Saccharomyces cerevisiae S288C: one gene and its partners. The protein of the gene in region 2 binds, or shares a complex with, the protein of the main gene of each other region. Each region holds a gene or a part of one and is shown on either strand. Other genes may lie near its edges.

The links.
Region 1: RPL9B (region 2) and RPL36B share a complex: the UniProt entries of both Saccharomyces cerevisiae proteins name them as parts of the large ribosomal subunit.
Region 3: RPL9B (region 2) and RPL6A share a complex: the UniProt entries of both Saccharomyces cerevisiae proteins name them as parts of the large ribosomal subunit.
Region 4: RPL9B (region 2) and RPL29 share a complex: the UniProt entries of both Saccharomyces cerevisiae proteins name them as parts of the large ribosomal subunit.

What each region holds. Positions count from the first base shown.
Region 1 is NC_001148.4:75,140-77,795, forward strand, and holds RPL36B (60S ribosomal protein eL36 RPL36B), read right to left. Parts: upstream 1,101-2,656; coding exon 1,085-1,100; intron 847-1,084; coding exon 560-846; downstream 1-559. Other genes in the region: GTPase-activating protein GYP5, read right to left, coding at 1,530-2,656. UniProt on the Saccharomyces cerevisiae protein: Component of the ribosome, a large ribonucleoprotein complex responsible for the synthesis of proteins in the cell.
Region 2 is NC_001146.8:497,899-500,782, forward strand, and holds RPL9B (60S ribosomal protein uL6 RPL9B), read left to right. Parts: upstream 1-1,782; coding exon 1,783-2,358; downstream 2,359-2,884. Other genes in the region: forkhead family transcription factor FKH2, read right to left, coding at 1-391; YNL067W-B (uncharacterized protein), read left to right, coding at 1,519-1,659. UniProt on the Saccharomyces cerevisiae protein: Component of the ribosome, a large ribonucleoprotein complex responsible for the synthesis of proteins in the cell.
Region 3 is NC_001145.3:122,671-125,875, reverse strand, and holds RPL6A (60S ribosomal protein eL6 RPL6A), read left to right. Parts: upstream 1-1,703; coding exon 1,704-1,718; intron 1,719-2,133; coding exon 2,134-2,649; downstream 2,650-3,205. Other genes in the region: TCB3 (Tcb3p), read left to right, coding at 1-1,146. UniProt on the Saccharomyces cerevisiae protein: Component of the ribosome, a large ribonucleoprotein complex responsible for the synthesis of proteins in the cell.
Region 4 is NC_001138.5:222,677-225,060, reverse strand, and holds RPL29 (60S ribosomal protein eL29 RPL29), read left to right. Parts: upstream 1-1,623; coding exon 1,624-1,803; downstream 1,804-2,384. Other genes in the region: phosphate-sensing transcription factor PHO4, read left to right, coding at 1-41; QCR6 (ubiquinol--cytochrome-c reductase subunit 6), read left to right, coding at 292-735; MIN10 (Min10p), read left to right, coding at 1,088-1,351; RRT5 (Rrt5p), read left to right, coding at 2,102-2,384. UniProt on the Saccharomyces cerevisiae protein: Component of the ribosome, a large ribonucleoprotein complex responsible for the synthesis of proteins in the cell.

The DNA of each region.
Region 1 (2,656 bases), on a different chromosome or scaffold from region 2:
GCAGCGCCACAGCTTGGTTCCAGATCGACGGAAGAGAACGTGCAACCCTTTGGGCTGGTTATGAAACAACGCAGATGGAGAATATGGCTCACAACCCCAAGGGACTTCTTGGTTTGGTTTTGTTTACAGTTTTTTGCTTGGCAAAGGTGCCATCGTTTGTCATGATAGCATGACGGTAGCAGGCATCATTGATTTTGCAACTGTTGCGGACCAGGACAGTGGGTATGGTGTAACTTCTGTAACACACCCACAAATGTGGTTGAGTCTCTAATGGAGATGAGTGAGTGGGCGAGCCAGGATAGGGTCTTTGGCATGTGCGGTGCTTACCCGGAAGGGAGATGCGCACGTGACTGTTGAAAAAGGGAAAAGCAGAGGTAATGAATGACGAAGTCGGTTCATTGCATGTGCTGTTACACTTCTTAAATAGATATCGATTAAGAATTACTATAATGATTTGTTACTTATTTTTTATTAACTAGCTTTGGGGGAGAGCCATGGAAAATAGCACTCGGTCTTGTGGCGGAGTTGGATTTGCTTGACTGTGGCCCCCTCACGCTGTTTAATGACGACGAGAGGCAGCAATGATGTTGTTCATTTCTTCGACCTTAGCCTTGGCTCTGGTGAAAGAACCCAATCTCTTCTTGGCGACCTTTCTGGCTCTCTTTTCACCGGAGTTTCTGATCAAATCGATCAATCTTCTTTCATATGGGGACAAACCGGCGATTTCTCTAACCAAAGATCTGACGAACTTGGTTCTGTTGGAGGCAGCACCCTTCTTGTAGGAGATCTTTGGGGCTGGAGTCATTTGGGTGACTTTCTTACCCTTGTTCAAACCAATAGCGATACCTAGAGGAAAAAAATAGAATATCTTATGTTAGTAACAAGCACACTAGTACTCACGTAGTATACGAGCAAAATAAATAAACAAAGACTCCACGGAGTACTGCAACGCTGGGTGCAGGATATAAACGATGTTTGCATATCTCTGGAGCTTAATCTCATCCTGTTTGTATTTCTGTTGTTGGCTTAGTGGTTCAGTTCATTTTGCTTTTGCTCTACAGTTCATTAGTTCAGGTAAACATACCAGTCTTGACAGCCATTTTGTATTATCCTTGCTTCTCTATTCTGTTTTGACTATGGTAATACACGAACTTAAGACTTAACGCTAATTAAAACGAATATTCAAGAAATGCAATGATGTGCCTCTTCCTCTGCCTCTCTCTCTCTCTCTCTCCTAGTGCATTCATGCTAGCTTCCCTCGTCGGGCTTCCCTGAACAGCCTTGGTTGGCAACCCAATGAAAAAGTTCCGCGCACGCGGTATGTGCGTCTTTCGCAACCAGACCTCTCGGTCATGGTCGTCTCCCGCACGGTAAAGCGGAAACAAAAACCCAACACATCCGTGGATGTACGGGTGAAAATACAGTCAAAAAAAAAACAACAACAACAACATTGTCTAAACGAGTCGTGATGCATTTTTTAACACAAATTGGAGAGGCACACAATGTGCACACAGCGCAAAACTATACATCTATTTAAAAACTTTTTTAAAACCAGTCCAGCCTTTCCTCCCTTTAGCCTTAGAATCTCGTTCCAATAACGATGCCGTGGACACTTGCTCCTTATTGATGTTAATCAACTCATCGATTTCCGCTTGCAGTTCAGTGATTCTTTCCTCTAATTGGCCGTTCTCCCTCATCACCTCATTGTTCCTGGATATGGTCCTTTCCAAGTCTTCTCTCAGATCTGCCTTTGGTAGTGACGCGTCCGGGTTCGGTAAATTTTGCTTGCGAATCTCTTCCTCAATTTGGCTTTTGATATCAGTGATTGTATTTATCAGGTCGTTTTTTTCATCCAACAGCATCTCCATATTCAATCTGTTCTGAATCAGCTCGTTAGCGGCGCTGATATTCTCTTTGTTCAAAATTGAATAGTCGTGTTCTAGCTTCTGCGCCTCTCTTTGTAGTTGGTGGTTTTGAATTCTTAGTGATTCGTAGTGGTCCTCTTTTTTTTGCTCTTTTTCATGGATTTCTACGTACTCTCCCCTGTATCTTCTTAATGTTAATGGTGTGATATATACACCTGTCATTGCATCATGAACGAAAAGATCGACATTGTAGGAAAAAGTGCCGTCATCATTGCCCTTAAATGAGTTCCCATTTGACAATCCCATTTGCACTACAGAAGCGTCATCCTGGTTTCCCATTAAATAGTAATTGAAGAGTTCGTCCTTTAAAAAATCCAATAGTTCATCGAATCTCAATTTTACTAAAGTTTCTTCATTCTTTAACATTAAATTTACAGCAAACTTCAAAAGCACTTCAATACCCTCTACGAATACAATATCAAAAATTCTTAACACAAACTCTAACGGAAACTTGTATGCGAAAAATGTCAAAAACCATTGTGTAGCGTACATTGTGGAGCTAATTCCCTCACGGATCAAGCGATTGTACAAAGAAGGTGAATGCTCCTCTAATAATCTATCAAATTGATAAAGCATTAACATCAGCCCAGGCATTCCTGGTAAGAAAAGCTCTCTTAATCCATAATTCTTCATTAATCCAACGAGTAGTCCAAAAGATTCGGCCTCGTTTTCACAGTTTATTAATAGCGGCGCTGCAATGAACCCCATGCCTTGCGTGTACCCAACATCTG
Region 2 (2,884 bases):
TCATGTTGTATTTTATTATGGCGTGCTTTCTAGAAACGACTTTGGCAGGTCCGAGATCAATATTCACTCTATATGAGTTTTTTACACCATCTGAATTTTCCTGTAGTGCACTGTTTAAGGGATCAGTATTTCTACCAATAGAAACTTCCAAATCCTTCACATAATAGGTCCAGTTTGGTCCGGAGAGTTTAGCATAAGCTTGTATTTCCGTCGCCATGTTCTTGTCGTTGGAATATTGTAATGATACGGTAGTTGGCTGATCTGGGGCTGTCAGTGAAGAGATGATGGCATTTATTACACCTTGATGATGCTGAGCGGTATATTTTGTGCTGCCATAATTTGTTTGAGTCATATTTAGTTCGTTCATCTCGTTAAAATTGCTGCTGGACATTTCTTGCGCATTGATAAAGTTTCAATAAAGGAAACGGAGGGAGCACACCAATATTTATGTGTATCGTACTGTTTTTTTTTTTTTTTTCTAGCAATGATCACTTATGCGAGGGAATCGGGAAGATTGGCTTTGAAGTGTTTTTAGCCTTTTGTTCCTTAGTATGATCTTGATTATTGAGCGGTTCAATTCAGTGGAAAAGGACTGCTCTATAGTGTTTTAAGTTTTACAGAAATATAGTGATCCTATGAATGTCACTTTTTTGTTTACCTTTAGAAATGCGGAACCATTGGCATTTTTTTTCTTTATTTACTAATTTACCTAGAAAATCCAAATGGCACAGGGCGAGCGAATTTTTTTTCCCTCTTTTAATGAGCGAAATCGAAGATTTTCGGTAATGTTGTGCGAAGGGTTCTGGGGCGGGGTCCGGCATAAGTCATCATCAATGCTAAGGGAACGATTATATGGCACAGAAAGAGACAGGAAGAAGAGGCCATCAAAATGTTGCAGCTTAAGGGATAAGCATAAAGCGTAATCAATAAAAAACAGCCTGTACCCAACAGGCAGCAAATTTTTGAAAGCCTGTTGCAAGATACATATGACACAAATTATTAAAATATGTTGAATTAATATTCAGTTCTTACAGTTGACATGATCCGACTCAAATGTTAATGTTCTTGAGGTTCTATAGTTTCAAAATAGCTTTTTACTTTCTGCTATTGGACCCTTTTGGACCAGCCGAAGGAAGTTTTTTTTCTTTATGTTTAGCTCTTTTTTCATCACTTCTAATTCGCAAATAGAAGGGGAAGGAGGACAGCAATTATGTAAAAATTAATTAGTATGTCAGTAACAAAAAGAAGAGATAACAGAGGTAGTTCCTCTAGACATTTTTAAGACGACTATTGATGCCAGGCAAATTTTGGATTTACTGCTCCTCTTTTAAGAAGACAAGTGTGTGATATCGTAGCGGTAGGAACCAATTTTGCAATCGATTTACTTACAGCCAAGAAAATCTATTTTCATGTTTAGCATTGCCATTTCTTCTGTGTCACACGTTGTGCTTGCCAGGAACTATAGGAGAGACGTATACAAGCATCAATGTTACGAATGTACGATCCCGTTTGCATCTGATGTGTAAACTCATGTGGTGCACTGGTGTTGTTTCCAAGACTGCACTATTAACTGGGAATTTTTTTTTTTCTTCTAGTGAATTTTTTTTTAAAGCGACGCACAGGAAAAGTGAAAATTATTTAAACGGACGGCAAACATGAAAAAAAAAATTACCAACCATATTTCTATTTCCTTTCCCTTTACCTATTCTCTTTTTGAAATAGTTCATTTTCTCTCTCTGAAACGACAATAAACCAAACTCTAGCCTCCAATAGTCACTAAAGATGAAGTACATTCAAACCGAACAACAAATTGAAATCCCAGAAGGTGTTACTGTCAGCATTAAGTCCAGAATCGTCAAGGTTGTCGGTCCAAGAGGTACTTTGACCAAGAACTTGAAGCATATTGATGTTACCTTCACCAAGGTCAACAACCAATTGATCAAGGTTGCTGTTCACAACGGTGACAGAAAGCACGTTGCCGCTTTGAGAACCGTTAAATCTTTGGTTGACAACATGATCACTGGTGTCACCAAGGGTTACAAGTACAAGATGAGATACGTCTACGCGCATTTCCCAATCAACGTCAACATTGTTGAAAAGGATGGTGCTAAATTCATTGAAGTCAGAAACTTTTTGGGTGACAAGAAGATCAGAAACGTCCCAGTTAGAGATGGTGTTACTATCGAATTCTCTACTAACGTAAAGGACGAAATCGTCTTATCTGGTAACTCTGTTGAAGACGTTTCCCAAAATGCCGCTGACTTGCAACAAATCTGTCGTGTTAGAAACAAGGATATCCGTAAGTTTTTGGATGGTATCTACGTTTCCCACAAGGGTTTCATTGTCGAAGACATGTAAATGGAACAAAAAAGTGTCTTTGCGCTTAGAGGCGCTTAAATATGTACATTATTCCTACTTTTTTATTTAGTATTATGTAAAGACTGAGGTTCTTTGTCATTGGATGTGCCTCACTTCCAATGATGAATTGACAGGCTCTCTAGGGAATGCTGTCAAGGGGAAACGTTGCTAGTGCTCATTGAAATAAAGAGCCACTTTACGTTTTCTCAAATTGCTTTTGTTTTTTCTTCTATTGATGCTAATTGCATATTTTTTGGTAAAGGAAAGAAACACTAAAAAATAAATATTCTCTAATACGTTACAAATGATTTTCTTTTTTCTTGAGTCTTGCAATCATACCCGTAGCTTTCTCTTGTTCTTCGGCTATTGCTTTAAATCAAAATGATATCTGGGTGTACCAGCAAGTTTCGAAATGAAAACATAAAAATATGGTTACCCGACATATATGCTGGTTTAATACTGGTTAAACTGAACAGAAGCATCTCTTTTCTCTATTAGGACGTAAACGACAACGTTTTTTTTTATA
Region 3 (3,205 bases), on a different chromosome or scaffold from region 2:
GATAAAAAAGTTTTCAAATCGAACATTAAAAAGAAAACATTGGATCCCGTATGGAACGAAGATGCTAAAATACCAATCCTTTCAAGAAGTAAGAATCAAGTCATATTTAATGTTCTTGATTGGGATCGTGCAGGTGATAATGACGACTTAGGCCAAGCTTCACTTGACGTTTCCTCATTAGAAGTTGGTAAAACTTACAACTGGAATTTGAATTTAAACACACAAGGAAGTATCAAATTACAAGGTTCATTCAACCCAGAATATATCAAGCCAAGTTTTGATATCGTGAAAGGCGGTATCACTGATAAGCCGATGAAAATAGCCAGTGGTGCAGCCCATGCAACTGTTGGCATAGCTGGTACTGGTATAGGAGCAGCAACAGGAGTTGCCACTGGTGGTTTAAAGAAAGGTGGTCACCTTCTAAAATCTCTAGGTGGCAATCCAATGAAAAGAAGCAAGAGCAGCAATGGAAATGAGTCCAACGGTGCAAAAAAATCATCAGAGAAAAAATCTTTTGATAGGAGATCCCCAAGTAATTTGAATAGCACTAGTGTAACACCAAGAGCTTCACTAGACTATGATCCATCAGTACCTAACACAAGTTACGCGCCCGTTCAAAGCGCATCTCCTGTAGTCAAGCCAACTGACAACACTTCTAGCTCAAGCAACAAAAAAGATACCCCTAGTAGCAACTCTAGAGGACATTCTCGTGCAAGCAGTTTTGCGCGTACTTTAGCTCCTCATGGCACTTACAATGGTTTTATTACCGTGGTTGCTGCGGAAAACGTTGCCAAGCATGTTCAAATTAAGATCTCTTTAACTCAAGGTGGTAGACTAAAACACATATACAAAACGAAAAGCCAAAAAGCCAATAATGATGGTGTTGCCGTATTTGATGAAGAGTGCTCGTTCAAGGCTTCTCCCGAAGCCAATTTGGTACTGGGTGCAATTTCCCATCAAAGACTATCGAGGGACAAAGATCTTGGTATTGCTCAAATCAACTTGGGTGACCCTCAAATTCAACAAGATGGCCAAATTTCTGTAAAATTAGGAGACGGTCATCTGATTGTAAAGATTAATTACGGTAAAGACAAGAATGGTCAGGTACCTCCCGTGCCAGAAGTTCCTCAAGAATACACGCAGTAATAAACAGTGAAAACTATTCTTTTATACGCTCAATAAGGGCACATTTGGTGTGTTAACAGGTGTCTTTTCTGTGTTTGTTATAATTTTGCGCTATTATTATATAACGTTATATTTACTATAATATATTACAACATATATTACAACATATTTCAACGCTCTCCTGTTACTGCTTAGGGAGAAGAAAGAAATGTGAAGACTGCTATTAAATCCGTACATTATTAAAATGTATGGATTTGTTATATTTTTCTTCAGTTTTTTCCTTAACCAGATTCGAAAAGCGGCCCGCCTAGACCATTGCGGTTGCGGCTAAAGCGTTCTGGAGAGGGCTTCTCCGCTGGGCGGACAACAGAAGCGAGAGACACGTTTCCCGTCTGGGAGGACTCACCGGATTTGTCCAGTTTCCCACTGGAGTGTGCTTTGTTCCTTTTGCAAAATTTCGTTGGTATGGAGGTTATCGAATGGAAGGGTTACATGAATAGATTAAATGTACTACTCATTAAAGATTGAATATCAGTTTTACATTAGGCGAAACAACAAAGTAATAGCCATCCAACGAAATGAGTGCCCAAAAAGTATGTTCCTACATGTTAATTTCGAGGGGGAGATGTCAATTTACATTCACGAAGGCATAAGTTTTGAAATTTGATATGATGCCATCAATCTCAGACATATCCATACAAGAAACAATAAGATCAGGACGTCGAACAAAATAATACAATGAAAACTGATAAATGACGTTATACAGTGTACAGTGAGGATAAATGATTAAGGCAGTATACCTTTCAACACAATGTTAATACTATGAGTGAGAAGGTGAGCAAAGCAATAAGGTATATCGACCCTAGCTCATGATTATTTAGTTTCCAAACAAAGGCCCACGTTACAGTTTCAAATCGCTAGGCATAATCTCTCCCTATAAAAATTTATCACCATTCGCAAATCAAGAATACTAACATTAGTCGTTTGATATTTCTTTTTTCCATTTAGGCTCCAAAGTGGTATCCATCCGAAGACGTCGCTGCTCTAAAGAAGACCAGAAAGGCTGCTCGCCCACAAAAGTTGCGTGCCTCTCTAGTTCCAGGTACCGTCTTGATCTTACTAGCTGGTCGTTTCAGAGGTAAGAGAGTTGTTTACTTGAAGCATCTAGAAGACAACACTTTGTTGATTTCTGGTCCATTCAAGGTCAATGGTGTTCCTTTGAGAAGAGTCAATGCTCGTTACGTCATTGCTACCTCTACTAAGGTTTCTGTCGAAGGTGTCAACGTTGAAAAATTCAATGTCGAATACTTTGCTAAGGAAAAATTGACTAAGAAGGAAAAGAAGGAAGCTAACTTGTTCCCAGAACAACAAAACAAGGAAATCAAGGCTGAACGTGTTGAAGACCAAAAGGTTGTCGACAAGGCTTTGATTGCTGAAATCAAGAAGACTCCATTATTGAAGCAATACTTGTCTGCTTCTTTCTCTTTGAAGAACGGTGACAAGCCACACATGTTGAAATTTTAAATATAATTATTTTAACGAACTTCTATAATAATATATATGCAGGTAAAATTATAATTTAACTACAGTTTCATAAGTGCATTTGTATTGAGCATTGGTTTTTTATTCGCATATTTATATCTTCATTGCGGCAATCACCCAGAGAAAGGGCGTGAAAAGAAAAAGGAATACATTATTTCAAGTTCCTTTGATCTTTCCTATAATGTAGACTTTCTTGGCGCAAGACTTGGATGCATCATACAAAATACAAATTGTTAAGCAAAAAAGTGTCGCTCTGCTGTAAGCTTTGTGATGTTATATTTGATCGTATGGTGAGGAAAAACAATACACCTCATGTTATATAATGATCGTTGTTTTAGGTGAGATGTGGAAATAGAAGAGAGATTTTTAAACAAAAAGTAAATGGTTTTAAACGTTGGCAATAACAAGGCCTGCTCACAGCAAATAAAACGGGAATAGAACAGGAACGGGAATAGAACAAAGATAAGAAAATTGAAAGTAGAAAAGACAAATAGTGAGAAACAAAATGCAAGAGAAAATGCATCGCTTGAGCCCAATG
Region 4 (2,384 bases), on a different chromosome or scaffold from region 2:
GCCGGTACATCCGTCACCTACAGCAGAACGTGAGCACGTGACCGTGCACCAATGGGAAGCACGTTCCGGGCATATCGGACTGGGGCGCGCCTCCCCTGCGCGGTGCTTGTTATAAGAGGCGCTTTGCTGGAAAGTGGCCCACACCGGGTTTTCGAGATTAGGACCTACTCAGTCTTAAGGGCAGTATTGGTTGGCGCTTATTTGCACATATTGTATACACGCACTCACATTAACAGAAGCACACATATACACTTACACCTACACACACGGATAAAGAAAAAGAAATAGAAAATGGGCATGTTGGAACTAGTTGGTGAGTACTGGGAACAACTAAAGATAACCGTTGTGCCTGTTGTGGCCGCGGCCGAAGATGACGATAACGAGCAGCATGAAGAAAAGGCAGCAGAAGGAGAAGAAAAAGAAGAAGAAAATGGGGATGAAGATGAGGATGAAGACGAAGACGAAGATGATGATGATGATGACGACGAAGATGAGGAAGAAGAGGAAGAAGTCACTGATCAGTTGGAAGATTTGAGAGAACATTTCAAGAACACGGAGGAGGGTAAGGCCCTTGTGCACCACTACGAGGAGTGTGCTGAGAGAGTCAAGATACAGCAACAACAACCCGGCTACGCGGATCTTGAACACAAGGAGGACTGTGTGGAGGAGTTTTTCCATCTACAGCACTATTTGGACACTGCCACGGCACCTAGATTATTTGACAAATTAAAGTAGTCTGTTTATCCGTCATATTCCCTATATTCATATTTATTCTGAGTCTTGTTACAATTTCTTCAAGAAACCGATCCTTATTTAACCTACTGTATTTAGAAAGTAAATAAATAAACTAAAATCAAAGCAAAAATAATTTTATACACTATTCTTATTTTTATTTTTTAATTTTTAATTTTTTTTATAAGGGAGCACAAGTATACAGACGGAAAAGGGATTAGGCTTTTTTTATGCGCTCTGTCTAGTACTGTTTTCTTTTACATCCGTACATACTCTTAGACCCATACAGCGCATGTATTCTTGTTTTCGACTTTTTTTTGGTTTTTTTTTTTTAGTTCTGTAAGGACAAAGAAAAATGGTCGCTAGCCGCGCTCGGGAAAACCAGCGATATTCTCAATGTAGGAAGTCTACCATTTTCCCTTTAGGCTTTGCCATAATCTCTGGATACATACAATTTCAGAATATTTCAATACTGCATATTTCAAGATTCAACCCATTATTTTATAACATTTTTCATTCAATATTCAAGAACCCCGGAACAACAATACAGTTAGAAAGTACGTTATATTATCATGAAGTCCCCATTTCGCCCATTGGAAATGCAGGTAGCCAAATCTGAGGTGCGCTGAGTGGCATATAGTGGAGGATATAAAGAAAAAAAGAGAGAAGGGAAAATAATGGAAAGTTACCAGTGTTTGAACTTATAGCGAACGCTCTTTCTCGAACGTTCAATTACCTTTAGCATACCCTTGTTCGAAGTTGCCCCCGCTAGCACCACTTCAGATTGGCAGTTAGCTGCCACGCTACTCCCCTCCACCGTTATGAATCATTTTTACTAACCTTTAATGACCATTCGCAATTTCTGCGTACATTCATCGTCTTCTCCAGAAAATGGCTAAGTCTAAGAACCATACCGCTCACAACCAAACCAGAAAGGCTCACAGAAACGGTATCAAGAAGCCAAAGACCTACAAGTACCCTTCTTTGAAAGGTGTTGATCCAAAGTTTAGAAGAAACCACAAGCATGCCCTACACGGCACTGCTAAGGCTTTGGCTGCTGCCAAGAAATAAACTTTTTAAGATTATAATACGTTAAAAATTTACATATTATTTTGTCTGATTTTATATAACATGTTTTATTATCTTAATTGAAGGAAAATTTATCTCAATATCCAGTACCGTTTTCTTTTTTTATTTCTTTTTTTTTTTCTTTTAATTTTCTTTTTCCTCCTTATGTGCCACAAAATGGAAGCGTCACAAATTAATAACAAAAGATAAATGATGTATAAAACAATGGTGTTGACCTTCTACTGAGTAGCAACACATAGAGAAGTATAAGGCCTCACATAAGCATACAAACAAGCCCGCAATGACAGAACAAGTTAACAATGACACTACCAGTGACACTACCACTACCATTACCACAGTTTACATTTCGAACCTGCCATTCACGGCGAGTGAGCGAGACCTACATGCCTTCCTAAACAACTATGGCGCCAGTTCAGTGTTGATTCCAACGCAGACCGTCCGCAGATTCAGCAAAAGGCACAATAGCAACCCTCGCAAACCACTAGGCATAGCATTTGCCCAGTTCGCAAACAATACTCTGGCTTTGAAGGCCATTCAAGACTTGAACGGAACCGTTTTCCAAA